2 linked regions of the Notamacropus eugenii genome follow. Each later gene encodes a partner of the first gene's protein in a complex. Links are inferred from orthologs where the notes say so. Each region holds a gene or a part of one and is shown in the gene's direction. Other genes may lie near its edges.

Region 1 (7,692 bases):
AGAGAATCTGGAAACATATGCGGCCAAGGTTTCCAAGTAGAGGGACCACTCGTCCCTATGTTAAAAAGCTTTTGATGTTTAGAGTGATGCTACACTGCTCCCTACTGGTTGTTCAAGGGTTGAGCTAACAGCCCGATGGTCCACAAGAAGTGCTGTTGGAAATGTCTCCAACCAGTGACTGCCTAGCACTGTTAAATAATAGTGATGCTTCTTGCTATGTGATCCTGCTTCCAGAATAGATATATGTATATGAGAATATATTCATATCTTTATATAAGGGTTACCTGACCAATAACTGCCCAACTCCTGAAGGGTTCATTTTTCCATTAAAAAAAAAATTCTAAACAATTTCTGTTTTTCCATGTAGGTGAAAGGATAAGGGAAGGATATAAAGAGGAGGACAAATAATATCAGGAGGGTAATGTCTTGACTTGCAAGTGAATTGGATTTAAGTGAGACAGGGCTGTGCAAAGTCACCAGCTTCACTCTCCTCCAAGGTCATTTGAGTCCAGTAGCAAGACATAGATCAGGACAACTAGCAATGGCCCCAGAAGCTATGGGAGACCTTGGCCTTTTTAAGCTAAGGTCTTTCCCACATCTCGGTTTGAGGCAATACCCATTCTGTGATTTAGAGCTAGGTAAGAAATGAGGCAAAAGATGACTTCATTTGCCTGCCCCAAAAAACAAAAAAGCCAAATTTGAACAAAGGAAGGAGTCTTCCTGTCTCAGGCCCAGTGCTCTATCCATTTCACCATCTAGTTGCCCCTTTAGACTCCTAAGGACTACAATTAAGAGATACTGGGTTAGGCTTCTTGTGTGACATTAGGCCTTGACAGCTCTTTGTAATCTACTCCCTCACCCCCTTTCAGTCTTCCATCTTCTACCACGCCCACCTCCCTTCACACACTCTTCAACCTGGTGACTCTGGCTTCCTTGTTATCCCTAGCAAGATGACAGCTCTCAACTCCTGAATTTTCTCTTGCTATTCCCCCATGACTAGAATGATCTCCCTCAACTCTGTCTCCTGGCTTCTGTCAAGTACCAGCTAAAATCACACCTCCAGGAAGTTTTTCCCAACACCTACATTTCAGTGCACTCCCTCTTCTATTTCCTATTTTTCTTGTATATAGCTTATGTTTATACGTGCATTTGTTTGTTGTCTCCCAATTGTACTGTGATATCCTTAAGGGCAGGGATTGTTTTTTGCCGTTTTGTGTCTACCCTCTCCCCCCTGCCAATGCTTAGCACAGTGCCTGGCATATAGTAGGTGCTTAATAAATGCTTATTGACTGACTGGGAGAATGTACATTCCTTGAGGGCAAGGACTCATTTTTGTCTTTGCATCCCACAGCATTTAGTGTGGTACCTTGTACATAGCAGGAACTTAGGTGCTTGTTGATTTATTGATCCCTATGAATGACCTTTTTTTTACTTCATTTTTTATTTATTTAGTATCTTATTTTTCCTCAATTACATATAAAATCAACTTTTAACATTCATTGTTAAAACTTTGAGTTCCAAATTCTCTCCCTTCTCCCTCTCCCTCTCCCCCCCACCCTTTGAGAAGGCAAGCAATTCAATACAGGTTATACCTGTGTAGTCATGTGAAACATATCCACAATAGTCATGTTGTGAAAGAAAACATAGAAAAAACCTCAAGAAAAATAAAGCAAAAAAAAAAGTATGCTTCAATTTATATTCAGACATCCTGATGACCTTTTCACATTTATTTTTTCTTTTACCTCTCTGCATCATTTCTATTACTATCCTTTCTTCCTGGATACTTTCTCCTCTCTGGGTTTTCATGATTAATTAATCAGTTTTCTTTTTATCTATCTAAACTAGTCTTTTTTGCAAAAGAAATGCTTATCATACTCCTTACCTGTGAGTGTTACACAAGGTTCTGTCCTTGACCTTCTCCTTTTCTTTCTCTACACTCTCTCGGTGACCTCATCAGCTCACACAGGTCTAATGTTTTTCATCTCTATATAGATTAATTGTAGATCTACATATCCAACCCTAGTCTCTTTCCTGAGTTCCAGTACTATATCACCAACTTCCTAGTGGCAGTGGGATAACCTGGATATTCCAGAGGATCAGAAGCTGAGCACATTCAAAACATAATTGTCTTTTTCCCAAATCACCTCTCTTCCAACTTTCAAAGGTACCACACTACTTCCAGTCACCCACGTTCACAGTCTTAACATTGTACCCAACTGTTCACTCCTCCTCAGCCCACAGAGCCAATCACTTGCCAAATTTTGTTATTTCTACTTCTACAATCTCTCTCATACCCAACCACTTCTCTCTATTCACAGATCTGCAACCCTAGTTTAGGTTCTCATTACTTCTGGATTATTGCAATAGTTTCTTGATTGGTCCCTCTGCCTAAGTCTCTATTCCAAACCATCCATACAATTGCTAGAGGATTTTCCTAAAATTCAGGTCTGACCATGTCACCCCTCTACACAACAAATTCTAGTGGTTTTGTATTACTTCTAGAATAAGTTATAATTTGATTACCTGTTGACAAATCTATTTGGCATTTAAAGCCTTCACTCCAGATTATCTTTCCAGCCTTATTACACTGTCCTTGCATTCATGCACACTATTTTCTTTCCCCCCCAAATTTATTAATTTGTTTTTAGTTTTCAACAATCACTTCCATAACTTCAAAATTTTCTCCCCCTCCTTCCCCAAGATGGCATGCAGTTTTATATGGGCTCTACACAAACATTCCTATTATACACATTTTCACATTAGTCATGTTGCATAGAAGAATTAAAACGAATGGGAGAAGCCATGAGAAAAACAAAACATGACAAAAGGGAAAATAATCTACCAACTCCATAGTTCTGTGTTCCAACTCCATAGTTCTTTCTCTGGATGTGGATGGCATTTTGCATCATGAGTCCTTCGGAAATGTTTTAGGTCCTTGCATTGCTGTGAATCTATCAAAAATAATCCTCACACTCTGTGGTTGTTACTGTGTATAATGTTCTCCTGGCTCTGCTCACTTCACTCAGCATCAGTTCATATAAGCTTTTCCAGATTTTTCTGAAGTTAGCCTATTTGTCATTTCTCATCCTCGCTGAATCACAGGTAGAGAGCAAATAAGTCAGCCACAACATCATTCACCAGGTCCTCCTTGATGAGCTACAGCAGGAGTAACAGGCCTGGAATCATCTCTGAGCCAGATCACTGCAGGGCTTGGTCAGCTATGTCACCTTCATCTGTAGCATCTTTGACTATTGAATGATGCCAGAGAGAACCATCTACTTCCTCTGACCCTGTTGTCCCCTTCATTTCTTACAGGGTGATAGTATTGCATCACAGTTATGTATCATAAGTTGTTCAGTCATTCCCCAAAGGATGGATAGTCCTTCAGTTTCCTATTTTTTGTTTCAACAGAAAGGGCTACATACTTGGTTTTGCTAAGCTGACCTTTTCTTGTGTTCTCAATGGGAAGGTAGGGAGTAGAGAGGTAGGTGAGAAGGCAGTCTTGACCAATTAAATAAAAATATATCATTATCTGTCTATATCTATAAAACTTAGGAACCTTAATAAACACGGTGACCAACCAGAAATCCTAAGGGCTTATGATGAAATATGTTTCGAGCCTCCCCCCCCCCACCCCACTACATAGTAGGTACTTAGTAAATGCCTATTCTTTCCTAAATCTTCAGTTACATCATTTCATTCTCTTGCTCAATTCCAGTGGCTCCCCATGATGAAGTACAAACTCCTCTGATATTTAAAATCCTTTATAAACAAATTCCAAACTACCTTTCCAGAGTCATACATTACTTTCCTTTGTATGTGCTGTGGTCCAGTCAAACTATACTTCTTGGTATCCTTCATCTCGCAGCCTTTGCCCCAGCTGTCTTCCATGCTTGAAATGCACGTCCTCCACACCTCCATCTCTAAGAAGCCCTACTTTCATTCAAAACTCAGCCCAAGTGAGATCTGCAAGAAGCTACCTTATCCTTATTTTGCATGTACTTTTATACGTACACTTTGTCTCTCAGAAAAAAAGCTCCTTTAAGGCAGACTTTCATTTTTGTTTTTGTCTCCCTAGTACAGTAACTGACACATAGAAGATGGTTACTAAAATATATGTAGCTTAACCAATGTGAGAGAAAGTAAAGAACAGATACTGTCCAGGTGCTCTATTAGTATCCATCCCTGCTACAACAGAAAGTCAGAGAAAGGCAATGTGCACATTGGGTGGTACCCCTGGAAGGATTTGTGGGAATACATGGAACAATCACACAGGAGAGACAGACATGGATAGATTGTAATCTGTATCACTGGGAGGAGTACCTACATAGTTAAAATCATAGTCACTCAAGAAGTATTGAGCAAAAGGTCATTTCTTATTTAGTACTGTATTAATCATTTTTTACAAATAATGCTTTATATGCTGAGGGGGGAGAGACTCAAGGTGTAAAACAAATCATACACTTTTGAACATGCAAATGTGTGGGTTTGGATTTGCTTGACCATACTTATTAAGAGAATTATGTAATTCTTTATTCCTTGGAGAATAAAGGGAAGTTAGCAATAGCAATGACAAAAAAAATCATTTAAGTGTTCGTTTTAAATGTTCATTGAAAAATGAAATAAAATATACATTAAAGAAGCAACTCTGGAAGGAAATACAAGCAGAACAGCTTTGAAACTAACATAAATTTAATACACTTTTTTAAAGTATTTATAGATGCGAGGTTTCAGATACAAATCTCTTTTTCTGTCTTTTGTATAAAGATTAAAAAAAAGTGACATTTAGAAAACCCTGGTCTCTTCCTAAGTGAGACATAGGTATTCTCTCCATTTGGGTTCTGTTCCAGCTTAGGGTTTAACAGGGTGTATGTAATGATTCTTTTTGAAAAGAAGCAACAGAAAGAGGAGGTGAATTACCTAGTCACAGAGTGGCAGAACAGGACTAGTAGGTCTCCTAACTCCTGATTTGGTACTTTTCCACTTAGCTGGAAGAAGCCCAAATTTAGGCTCCTTAGGAAGCAGTTCACAGAATCTCAAAAGAGACAGCAGAGACCATTTAGACCAACCCCCAAATTTTACACTATTGAAACTAGAGCAGAATTTTCCCAAGATCACACAGATTGTGATTAGCAGCAACTCATCACCTTTCTCCAAATCCAGTTTTCTTTTACTCTCCCCCTTGGCTGGATGTGTGTGTAAAATAAGGTTTCAAGGATATTTTTAGAAGGTTTAGAATGACTGAGAATCAAGGTTCAGTTAAAACCTCAACCCAGGCTTTGAGGCAGGAGAATTTTATGACTGAATTAGTTTTAGGGGAGGGCATTTTGGTCATATTTTTAGGTGGCCTTGAGATTAGGCAGAAGGACTCAGAATTATTCAAGTCATACCAATGTACCTTAAAGGATGTAAATTACAGAATATCAGTTGCAATTTTTTACTCCCATGATGAGACTTGGGGAGACTGAATAGGTGTCCCAGTGTATAGAGTTGGGGGAAATAGCACTGCAGTAGGAATGAGGCCTGAGTGGTAGACCATATGCTCTGAACCTCCTTATTTGACAAAAGAAGAAACGAGTCTCAAAAGGGCTGGAACTTGCCCCAGATAATACATCAAGTTAATGGCAGAGTTGGGGATTACAATCTAGGTCTTCTAAATCCAAGCCCAGCATACATTATTGAACCCTTATTTTTATTCTTAAAAGTAACAATAAAATACTCAAAATGAAAAAAAAATGATTATACATAAAACTGCAAACTCCAAATTACTGGCAAATTTTGTACATGTGATTAATTAAAATGCTCCCATTTGCTTTTGTAACCCTTTCTGATCAACATATTTTAATTTTGTTGCCAGCTTTTTACAGTGGTAGCTCTACATTGTATCCTATTCAAATTCTCTTTTTTTTATTCTGCACGTCACATTTCTTTCAATCTCCCAGGCATTTTCAGATCATTCTTGATTTCCTAGGGCACATTAATGTTCGATGACGTTCAATTTGTTCAGAGAATACTCAGCCACTGACACATTCCCTAATTTGTTTAACAGATGAGGAAACTAAGGCCCACCTTGATGAGATTGACGCAGCTAGAAAGCATATGGAGTAGGAACAAGGACCCAAGCGTCCAGATTCCTGCTCTAACTTTCCACTCCTATGATGAGTCTTGTTGAGGCTGAGAAAATGAGATGGCCAGTGTAGAAGTAGCATGGAAGGGAAAAGGCCTGCAGGGGAATGAGAAGGTCTGAGCTGCAGTCCCCAGGGGGGTGACCTTGGATAACTCACTCTACCTGAACCTGTTTCCTTCCCCCTTCTAACAAGGCTAAGGTGTGTCTTACAGTTCCAACAACTTCTTGCTCCTTCTGTTTCTCCTATAAAAAAGAGATCGTTCTACAGGGAACCTAAGAAGGAATAGGGGGGGAAAAAAAGCTCCACGCACCTCCACCCCCGAGTTCCCAGCTAAGCTTGGCACCTGTCCCGGGGACTGGCACATTTGAACAATAAAGGAGGAGGCTTGAATGACTTAGGAGCCGCTCCCAACTCGTAAATTCCTAGGAAGCCGAGCTGCTCGGCCGAAGACACAAAATGGGGCTTTGTGTCCCTCGCGGGCACCCGACGCGGACTACAGCTTCCAGGAGGCCGCGTTCGCAGTGACGGCGGCCGGAGCGGCCACGTAACCGTTGGCGGCGCAGGCGCGCTGCGGGCAGCCGGCCGGGCGGGCGCTTCGCGGTTTGAATGGCTCCGGGCCGGGGCCGCCCGTTCGCCTAAGAAGCGGCCGTCGCGGAGCGGAGCGGAGCGCGATGCCGGCAGGGGCAGACCAGCCGCCTCCGCCGGCGGCGGCCTCCGAAGAGGAGGAAGACGACGGCGCGGAAGAGGAAGCGCCCACGGAGGATGGTGGGGAGGAGGCTGGGGCAGAGCGCGGCGGGCCTGTCGGGCAGACGCCGGCGCCTCAGACGCGCCAGCGGTTTGACGAGCTTTGCGGCCGCCTCAACATGGACGAGGAGGCGCGGGCCGAGGCGTGGGAGAGCTACCGGAGCATGAGCCAAAGCTACACGCTGGAGGTGCGCCCGCATCCAGGGAGGGGCGGGCGGGCGGGCCTGGGGCAGAGCCGCAGCCGGATTTCGGGCCTGGCCACCGCCCCTCCGGGTCGAGTGCCCGCCTCCCGCGGACTCGTGCCCACCGCACGCACACGCACGCACACGCACGCGCGCACGGTGGGCGACGTACGCCCTCCCCCGGAGGGGCTGTTTGCCTTGGAGCGAGAAAGGCTCCTCTTGGGGGCGGGGGATTTAAAGGCAGGCTGGAACGCTGTGTGGCTCTTCGCTGGTGACCTCCCCTCCCCGACCCTCCGTTGCTCGTCTGTAAAATGGGGGGTCGGATTAAATCATTCTGAGGGCCCTTCACGCCTTCGTGTCAGTAGTTCGTGAACATTTAGCGAATGCCTCCTGTGTGCCAGGCCCTGTGCTAAGCTCTGGGAAGACAAAGAGAGATGTAAAACAAGCCCTGAGCTCCCAGTGTCCTGAGGGGGAGAGCACACCTAAAAAAGTGAGGAAGGAGCGGGGCAGGGTGTCATCAAGTCCGGCCGCTTGCATGGGGAATGATCCCGGGAGGTGAGGGTTGCTGAGGAGATCATGAAATCCAGGAGGTCATCTGGGTGGGAAATAAAGGCGAAGAGCTAGCAGAATGTGAGCCA
Region 2 (7,456 bases), about 48 Mb from region 1:
TTTAAGAGAAACGTGTCTTTATCATATTTGGAATTACCCCACCATGAAGCCAAAGGTCCTGCAATGACTTAATAGAGGCTTAGGATAAGGTTCAGGTTCCCTAGGTAATTTCATGGTCCTTGGGTTTGGGAAGTGGGGAGGGGGCAGAGGTGGGCAGCTCCTTACTCAGGGTTGGCCTAGTGGAAGAGGGTAGGCGCAGGCCTGGGTGGATAGAAGATAAGGTTAGGCTGAGGTAGTTGCAGGCAGCAGAAGGGTAGAGCTGGGTATAGCCCTCATGGGAAGGCCTGGTGCATGCAGAAACTTGGGCTGGGTGCAAATAACTATTGTGCATTAAAATTCAATGTTATCAGTATAAATTATTTAATAATACTCAACATGACTAATAATTATGGCTTAAAACTGATACAGGAAAATTATGGCATCCCTACAATCCCCTTTGCCTTTCATAAGATCTTGTAAGAGGGAGCATGGGTATGATTATCCTGTACTTACTTATATGGTAACTCAGGCTTCCCTAGGTCGGGGCACATGGTCCAGGTCATGACACAGGAAGAGATTAGACAAGCCCTGCTCTACTTACATTTCTGTTCAGAGGTCTTCTGCAGTAAGCTACCTCTTAGATCAGACAGTTATGAAAACTGTTTTCCCCAATATGATGCTTCATAGGTAATTTTAACTAGTGCGTGATTGATCTTAAAAGATATTTGTTGTTGTTCAGTTGTGTAGGACTCTGTGTTTTCTTGGCAAAGATTCTGAAGTGGTTTGCCATTTCCTTTTCCAGTTCATTTTACAGGTGAGGAAACTTAGGCAAACGGGGTTAAGTGACTTGCCCAGAGTCACACACAGCTAATAAGTGTCTGAAGTCACATCTGAACTCAGGTCATCCTGGCTCCAGGACCAGCATTCTATCCACTACGCCACCTAGCTGCCCTATCCATGATACAGAAAGAATTGATAAGAGCATGTCATTCCCCCAGTAATAAAAGGTCAAAACTTACGAACAAGAAGATATCAAAAGAAGAAATGCAAATCTTCAATCAATTAACAAGCTTGTATTAAACAGTGTACGATAGACACTAGAGATACTAATAAAAAGAATGAAACAATCTATTCAAGGAACTCACATTCTATAACAATAGGAAAGAATCCCCTTATCAGTAATAATAGGAGAAACATTAATCTAAGAGATTTTCTTCTCTGTGTGCGTCATATTGGCAAAGATGACAGATGAAAATGCTAAATTTTGAAGGGCCTGGAGGAAAATAAGACTAATTCATTGTTGGTAGAATTGTGAATTGGTCCAACAATTCTGATTATATTAGAAAAGTCACCAAACTCTGACCCAGCAATACCTCTGTTGGGCACATGCTCTAAGAAGGTCAAAGACAGAAGCAAGGGTCCCACATATATAAAAATACTGTTTATTGGCAGGAAGTAAAGACCTGGAAACAGTGATTTTCTCTTATCAGCTGGGAAGTAGCTGGACAGAATAGAAAGGAATATCGTTGTGCTGGAGGAAACTGATGAATGTGAAGAATTCAAAGAAACTTGAGAAGACTTGTATGAATTGATGTAGTGAAGTAAAACCCCATGACTACAATCACGCAACTTAAACACAATAAAAGGTGTATGGATTGTGATCAGTGCAGCCAACAATTTTGATTTCGCAGTACTTGCAAGGCTCTCATCTTTGAGATGGTGGACTATTAGATGAAATTATGTTGTTAGATATGGCTGATGTTTTTGTTCATTTGCACAGCAGTACTAGTATGAGGGTAGTACTGCTATTAAGAGAAGGAGGCATTGGGCACTGACATGTAAACATTTTTTCAAAGTACTAATAAACCTTTTTAAAAAATTACATGGATACCAATGAAACCAGCCAGCCTTCTCTTCTAGTTGTAATTCTCTTACATATTTTATATACTGATTTGTGCAGTTGGTAGTGTACTAAAGTCTTCATTCTGTTCACCAATCTATTGTCCTTTGAGTGATCCATACTGGATCGCAGCTCTCCCTCACTCAAAACAAAGTCAAGTGTAAGTCATGTCATCATTTCTCTGATGTCATGGTCTTCTTCTAAAACGAAGGACGGGCACAACTTTTGATTAGTCCAGAGTGACACAAAAAGTGAGAAATGAGCTTTGCCTTCATGGAGTTCACAGTGTTTAGGGCAATAAGGCATATTCACAAATAACTATGAGAAACTAGGTGGTATAGTGGATAGTGCGTCAGACCTGAACTCAAGAAGACAGCTTCCTGAGTTCAAATTTGGTCGCAGACACTTAATAGCTGTGTGATCTTGGGCAAGTCACTTCACCCTATTTGCCTCAGTTTCCACCTCTGTAAAATGAGCTAGAGAAGGAAATGGCAAACTACTCCAGTATCTTTGCCAAGAAAGCCCCAAATGGGATCACAGAGAGTTAGAGATGACTGAACAAATACCTATAATACAGAATATAATTTGTTAAATGCCTAAAGGCAGGTAATAGAAGGTTTCCTTAGCTGTGTGATTCTGGCCAAATCACTTAAACATTTTTGAGCCCTCAATCCTCATCTATAAAATGGTATTTAAAAAGAACTATCTACCTCACAGGTTTCCTGTGAAAAAAGTACTTTGCAAATTGTAAATTAAAAAAAAAAAGTTCTTTTTAAACCTTGCTATCATTATTCCCAGGGAAAGTTTAATTTCCTAAGGGAGATTGGAGATTGTCTTTCAAGTTAAAGACTGAGCCAGGCCTAGAACTCAGATTTTCTGCCTTTAGGGTCTTGTCTCTTTCCTTTATACGCTAATGTGGAAAGACAAGAACAGAACAGTCCAGAAACTTTAAATTGTGGATTTTGACCTGGGAAATGAAGTAGGAGACTATGAGTCTGCAGTGTTTCATATGAGGTCAGTCCATGTGACCATTGGTTTTGCTTAACTTTATTTTGTTATAAAAAAACGATTACATGGTCTGTAGGAGGGGTATATCCAGAAATGACTGTGATATTTAAAAAGGCATCAATAAAAGTTTTTAAAGTTGTAATTACCATTTTGTTACATACTTTGATGGCTCTCTAGTCTTCTCCTCCAGTGTAGATGTTCAACCATCCCTCCCTGCCTTTTCATTTTATGTAATTCTTGTCCATGCCCTTTCCAAAGGCTTCCATAGTGTCCAATTCAGTGGAGCCTTTCCTCAAAATGATTTAGTATTTTGAGGATACCAAGTGTTTGCTATCCTTTGCTCTCCTTGTATGACTTCAATTCATATTTATTAAATACCTACCAGCTGCAAGGCACCTACCAGGTGTTGTGACTATGAGACAAAAATGAAAATTCATGGACTCAAGGAGCTTATATTCCATTGGGGGTATATAATATGTATGTTATGTATATATATATAAATATGAATATGTATATACACACAAAAAAGGAAATAATTTCTGGGGTAGGAGTGGAGATCTGGGAAAAAGGAAAGACTTGCTCTAATGTAGGAATTAGCATATGAGTTGAGTCTTGAGGGGAGCTAGAAGCAGAAGAGGGAGGGAATTCCAGGCATGGGGCACAACTTGTGCAAAGGCATGGGGGTGGGAGATGGAACATCATGTATAAAGAACAGTATGTGGGCCAGCTTGGCTGGAAGAGTTTGTGAAATATGAAATTAACTTAGAGAGTTAGTCTGGAGCTATATTATAAAAGACTTTAAACACCAAGTAGAGGAGTTTGCATTGTAGCCTAGAGGCACAGTCAGAGCCTATCAGTTTGGTAGCCCTGTGGAGAATGGACTGGAAAGAGTGGAAAAATACGCTGTCAGGAGGATATGAAGTGATTAGATGTGGGGAGGGGGACTGAGGGAAAGTGAAGAATGGACAACCAGGAGCTTGTTTACCGAGCTACAGAAAGGTGGAAGGGGATCTCTTCAATCGAATAAAAATAGGGCTGCTGGAGAAAAGGGCGAGAACTAAACTGAATGACTTAAAGCACTTTGGTTTTAAAGAGCCACTGATTTTTTGGTTTGTTTGGACAAAGAGGAGAGGAGAAAAGGGATAAAGGACTGCAAGGCATTTATTCCCTCCCGATTCCCTCCCCAGGCAGCACTCCCTTTTAACAAAAAATAAGAAGAAAACAATGGACCAACAAAATTAAACAACACATAAACACACTGACAGTTTTTACTCACAGTCCCCTATTTTTGCAAAAAAAAGATCTGGAGAAGCATTTTATTTTTAAAAAAAATCAAAATGTTGAATTCATCCATTAAATTTCCCCATAAAATCCTTCCTACAGGCAGCATTAAAAGCAGGAGAATCAACTAATCTCTTAATATTTTACTGGATAAAAAAAGTTTTCAGCAGACTCTGGGTGTCAGTTTTCTCATCTGCAAAGTAAAGGCGGGTTGGACCAGGTTATTTTTTAGGTACTTGATCCCTTGATTTAACGTTCTATTTAACTGAAAACATCCACCCTCCTCTCATCAGATGAACTGCATCCCAGGATCTCCCTTTCTATTTAACTCAGACATCTACCTTGGACTCTGCACATGCAACGAAACTACATTTCCCAAGACCCCTTGCAGCAGGGGCTTCGGCTCAGCCCAGTTAAAAAGCCATATCGGAGCTTTAACTCGGCGAGCTTTGGGTCTTTTCGGAGCCGGCGCAGCCCCGCTCCCCGTCCGGCCATGGGCTTTAAAGCAGAGTGCCCTTCGAAGCGGACGGCACCGGCACACGTGCGGCCCAGTCCGCCGGCCGCCTGGCCCCGGGGCGCTCGGGGCGGAGGGGCGCGCCGAGGGGCTGCCGGTGGGCCTGCCGTAAGTGGGGGCGCGGCGGGGAGGCGGGCATGGACGGACGGATGGGCCGGCGGGTGGCGGGGGCTTTGCAAAGTTTCTCGCAGTTTACCCGCGCGCGCCTCTTTTCCCCTTCCTCCGCCTCCCGCCCGCCCGCCAGCCACCCAGCGCTGCCTCTGGCTTCCCGGGCGTCCGCCTCGCGCACGCTCGCGCCAGCCCGGGGAGGAGGGAGGGATCAGGGAGGCGGCCGCCCGCAGTTGGCGCGAGATAGGAAAGTCCTGCGGCGGCGGCGGCGGCGCGTCCCGCTCTTCCACGCCGGCTGCGGCAGCGGCCCCCGCCGGGCAGCCTCGGAGGGAGGGGGCGCCTCCCGGCCGCGACCTCCCCCCGCCCTCCCCCTCCCCCTCCCCCTCCCCCTGCTCCCGCCCGCACTTGCATTTCCTAGGCGGGGGCTCGTAGCGTCTGCCGCCGGCGAGCTCCGGCCGGGGCCGGGCCGGGCAGGGCAGGAGTCGGCTCCGCCGGGCGGGCTGCTGCGCCCCCTTCCCCTGCGCCCTCCCCACCGGGCTCGCCCCGTCCTCCATTGCCCCGTTCCCACTTTTCTTCCCTCCCTCTCTTCTCCCCCGTTTCCTCTCCTCCCCTCCCCTTCCCCCTTCTCTTTCCCTCCTTTCCCCGCTCCTCGCGTCCTGCCCCCCTCCCTCCGCCGCCTTTATGACCCCCTGGCCCCGAGGGCAGCAGAGAGGGGATGGCTCGCCGGACTCGCGGGTAAGTTGGACCACCTCAGGGGGCCTTCAGCCCTGTTTTGTTTATCCGCGGACCCCCCCCCCCCCCCATTCTCCAGTTAGTAGTGGGTGAGAGGGGGTGCCTGCGGACCTCCCGGAGAACCTAGGTTAAATAGTAGAGCCCCCCCCATAGGTGGGTGTCTGGCTAAGGTTCAGTTTTTCCGCTCTCCGTGCAGTTGCCCACGCGCTGCCACCCCTGGTTCCCCCGGGGGGACCACGGACACCCGGGGGCCTCTTGGCCGGCCGCTGCAGGCTGATTGGGGCGTAGTCCGCACACGGGGCATTTTGTCTTTGGGTCCCCAGCTTAGCCGTCTGTAAAATGGGTGCTAATGGGGAGTTCTAGGGCACGGGCTCCGGGGGTCTAGGGCTTGCCCAGCAAATATTGTAAGGAGCAGTGTCTCATTAGAGTTGGAAGGGACTTCAGGACTTGTTCAGAATCCGAGAATGTACTCTTGATAATGCCATCATCCTTTCTTCTCAGTAGCATTTTTAAGTGCGTAAAGGAAAATGCATAGAATTACAAAGGAAACCAACTGAATATTGAAATACAGTTACCAAAATATAAGAAAAGACATGCACTCATCTGATCTAGGACCTCTCCACCTACCCCACTTTTGCAAAGGATGAGTTTGGGGCTCTGAGAGGAGATTACCTAAGGTCACAAAATATTGAATATTCAACCTAAAATTGTGAGCGCAGATGTCATCCATGAACTTCTATCTTGGTTCATGTGAGAGTCGGGTGTGGAGGAAATGAATTCTTATAAATTGAGAATTATGAAAAAAACTAATAAATCCACCCTTCCCAAAGCAAAGGGCAGTGGAAGAGAGGGGTTTTATATTCCAGACATGCTTGTGGATTATACCAAAGGGCATTAGTGTTTAGAGGTTCTTTGTAGGGAGTTTTGATGGCCTGAGTGTTTTAATGTCTTTGTTAAGTATGGAGGGTGCACATATGCATGTGTATATATACATACATGTATACATATGTATTTCAGAGGTCTCTCTTGTCTGTTGTAGGAGGGAGACAAGAATTACAGTATAATTGTGCCCCTCAAATTTTCTGCACCCTGAAACATAGGGCTGAAGTTATTTATGATATCATGCTGCACATATATATATATATTAAACGCCTATATTAGTTGCCACTTTTCCTGGGTGTTTTTTTGCCTTAGCAGGCAGTTCCCAGCTTACAAACATCCCACTTGTAAGTTATTGCTTACCTACAAATAGTTTCTCTCTCTTTCTGCCGAAAGGCTTCTTTTGGCCTTGGGATCATGGTGAGGAGCATGAGGCACATTTCTTTGCCTGTCAGCTGCTAGAATTATTTTCTCTTGTGGCCACCAGGCAGGGTTGAGTTGATAGGGGCAGCTATTGTCCAAAATAATTAATTGGAACTCTAGATGCATTTTTTTCTGATAGAAACAATGTTAAAAGTGGTTAAGTTCTGTTTCAGCTACATGATAGGTGAAATTGACTTTTTCTGGGTTCATAGCCACCTTTTAAAACTTTGTTTCTGAAAGGGAACATTCAGGACACAACCTGTTCTGGCGCTGTATTTGACCTGTCTTGGCCGTTTGGATTTTGCTTCTAGGAAATTGTCCTTAAAGATCTGGTCTAGGGTTTTTTAACGTTTTTTGTGTGTGTCAAAGACCCCTTCGGCAGTCTAGGGAACCCTTCTCAGAAGCATGTTTTTGATGCATAAAATAAAATACAAAAGATCACAAAAGAAACTCATATTGAAATAGTTATAAAAATTTTTTTGTTTTAAGTTCTCAGACCCCAACTTAAGAACCATGATTTGGTGAGGAGAGGAAAAAGTTTTGGCCACTTGGTCTTATTTTCCCAATAGTGTTATAACTTTAAAATCTGCATTCAGAATACGTTTTGAAAATATTGAGTACTAGTAAGTAAA

The links. Proteins that work in one complex are often made in the same cells at the same time.
Region 2: RBL2 (region 1) and MYBL2 share a complex: the UniProt entries of both Homo sapiens proteins name them as parts of the DREAM complex. The link is inferred for Notamacropus eugenii from reciprocal best matches to the Homo sapiens genes RBL2 and MYBL2.

What each region holds. Positions count from the first base shown.
Region 1 is NC_092872.1:469,041,569-469,049,260, forward strand, and holds the start of RBL2 (retinoblastoma-like protein 2), read left to right. Parts: upstream 1-4,680; 5' UTR 4,681-6,799; coding exon 6,800-7,060; intron 7,061-7,692. UniProt on the Homo sapiens protein: Key regulator of entry into cell division. Directly involved in heterochromatin formation by maintaining overall chromatin structure and, in particular, that of constitutive heterochromatin by stabilizing histone methylation.
Region 2 is NC_092872.1:420,949,960-420,957,415, forward strand, and holds the start of MYBL2 (myb-related protein B), read left to right. Parts: upstream 1-4,446; 5' UTR 4,447-4,461; coding exon 4,462-4,790; intron 4,791-5,169; exon of another isoform or gene 5,170-5,505; coding exon of another isoform or gene 5,506-5,525; intron 5,526-7,456. UniProt on the Homo sapiens protein: Transcription factor involved in the regulation of cell survival, proliferation, and differentiation. Transactivates the expression of the CLU gene.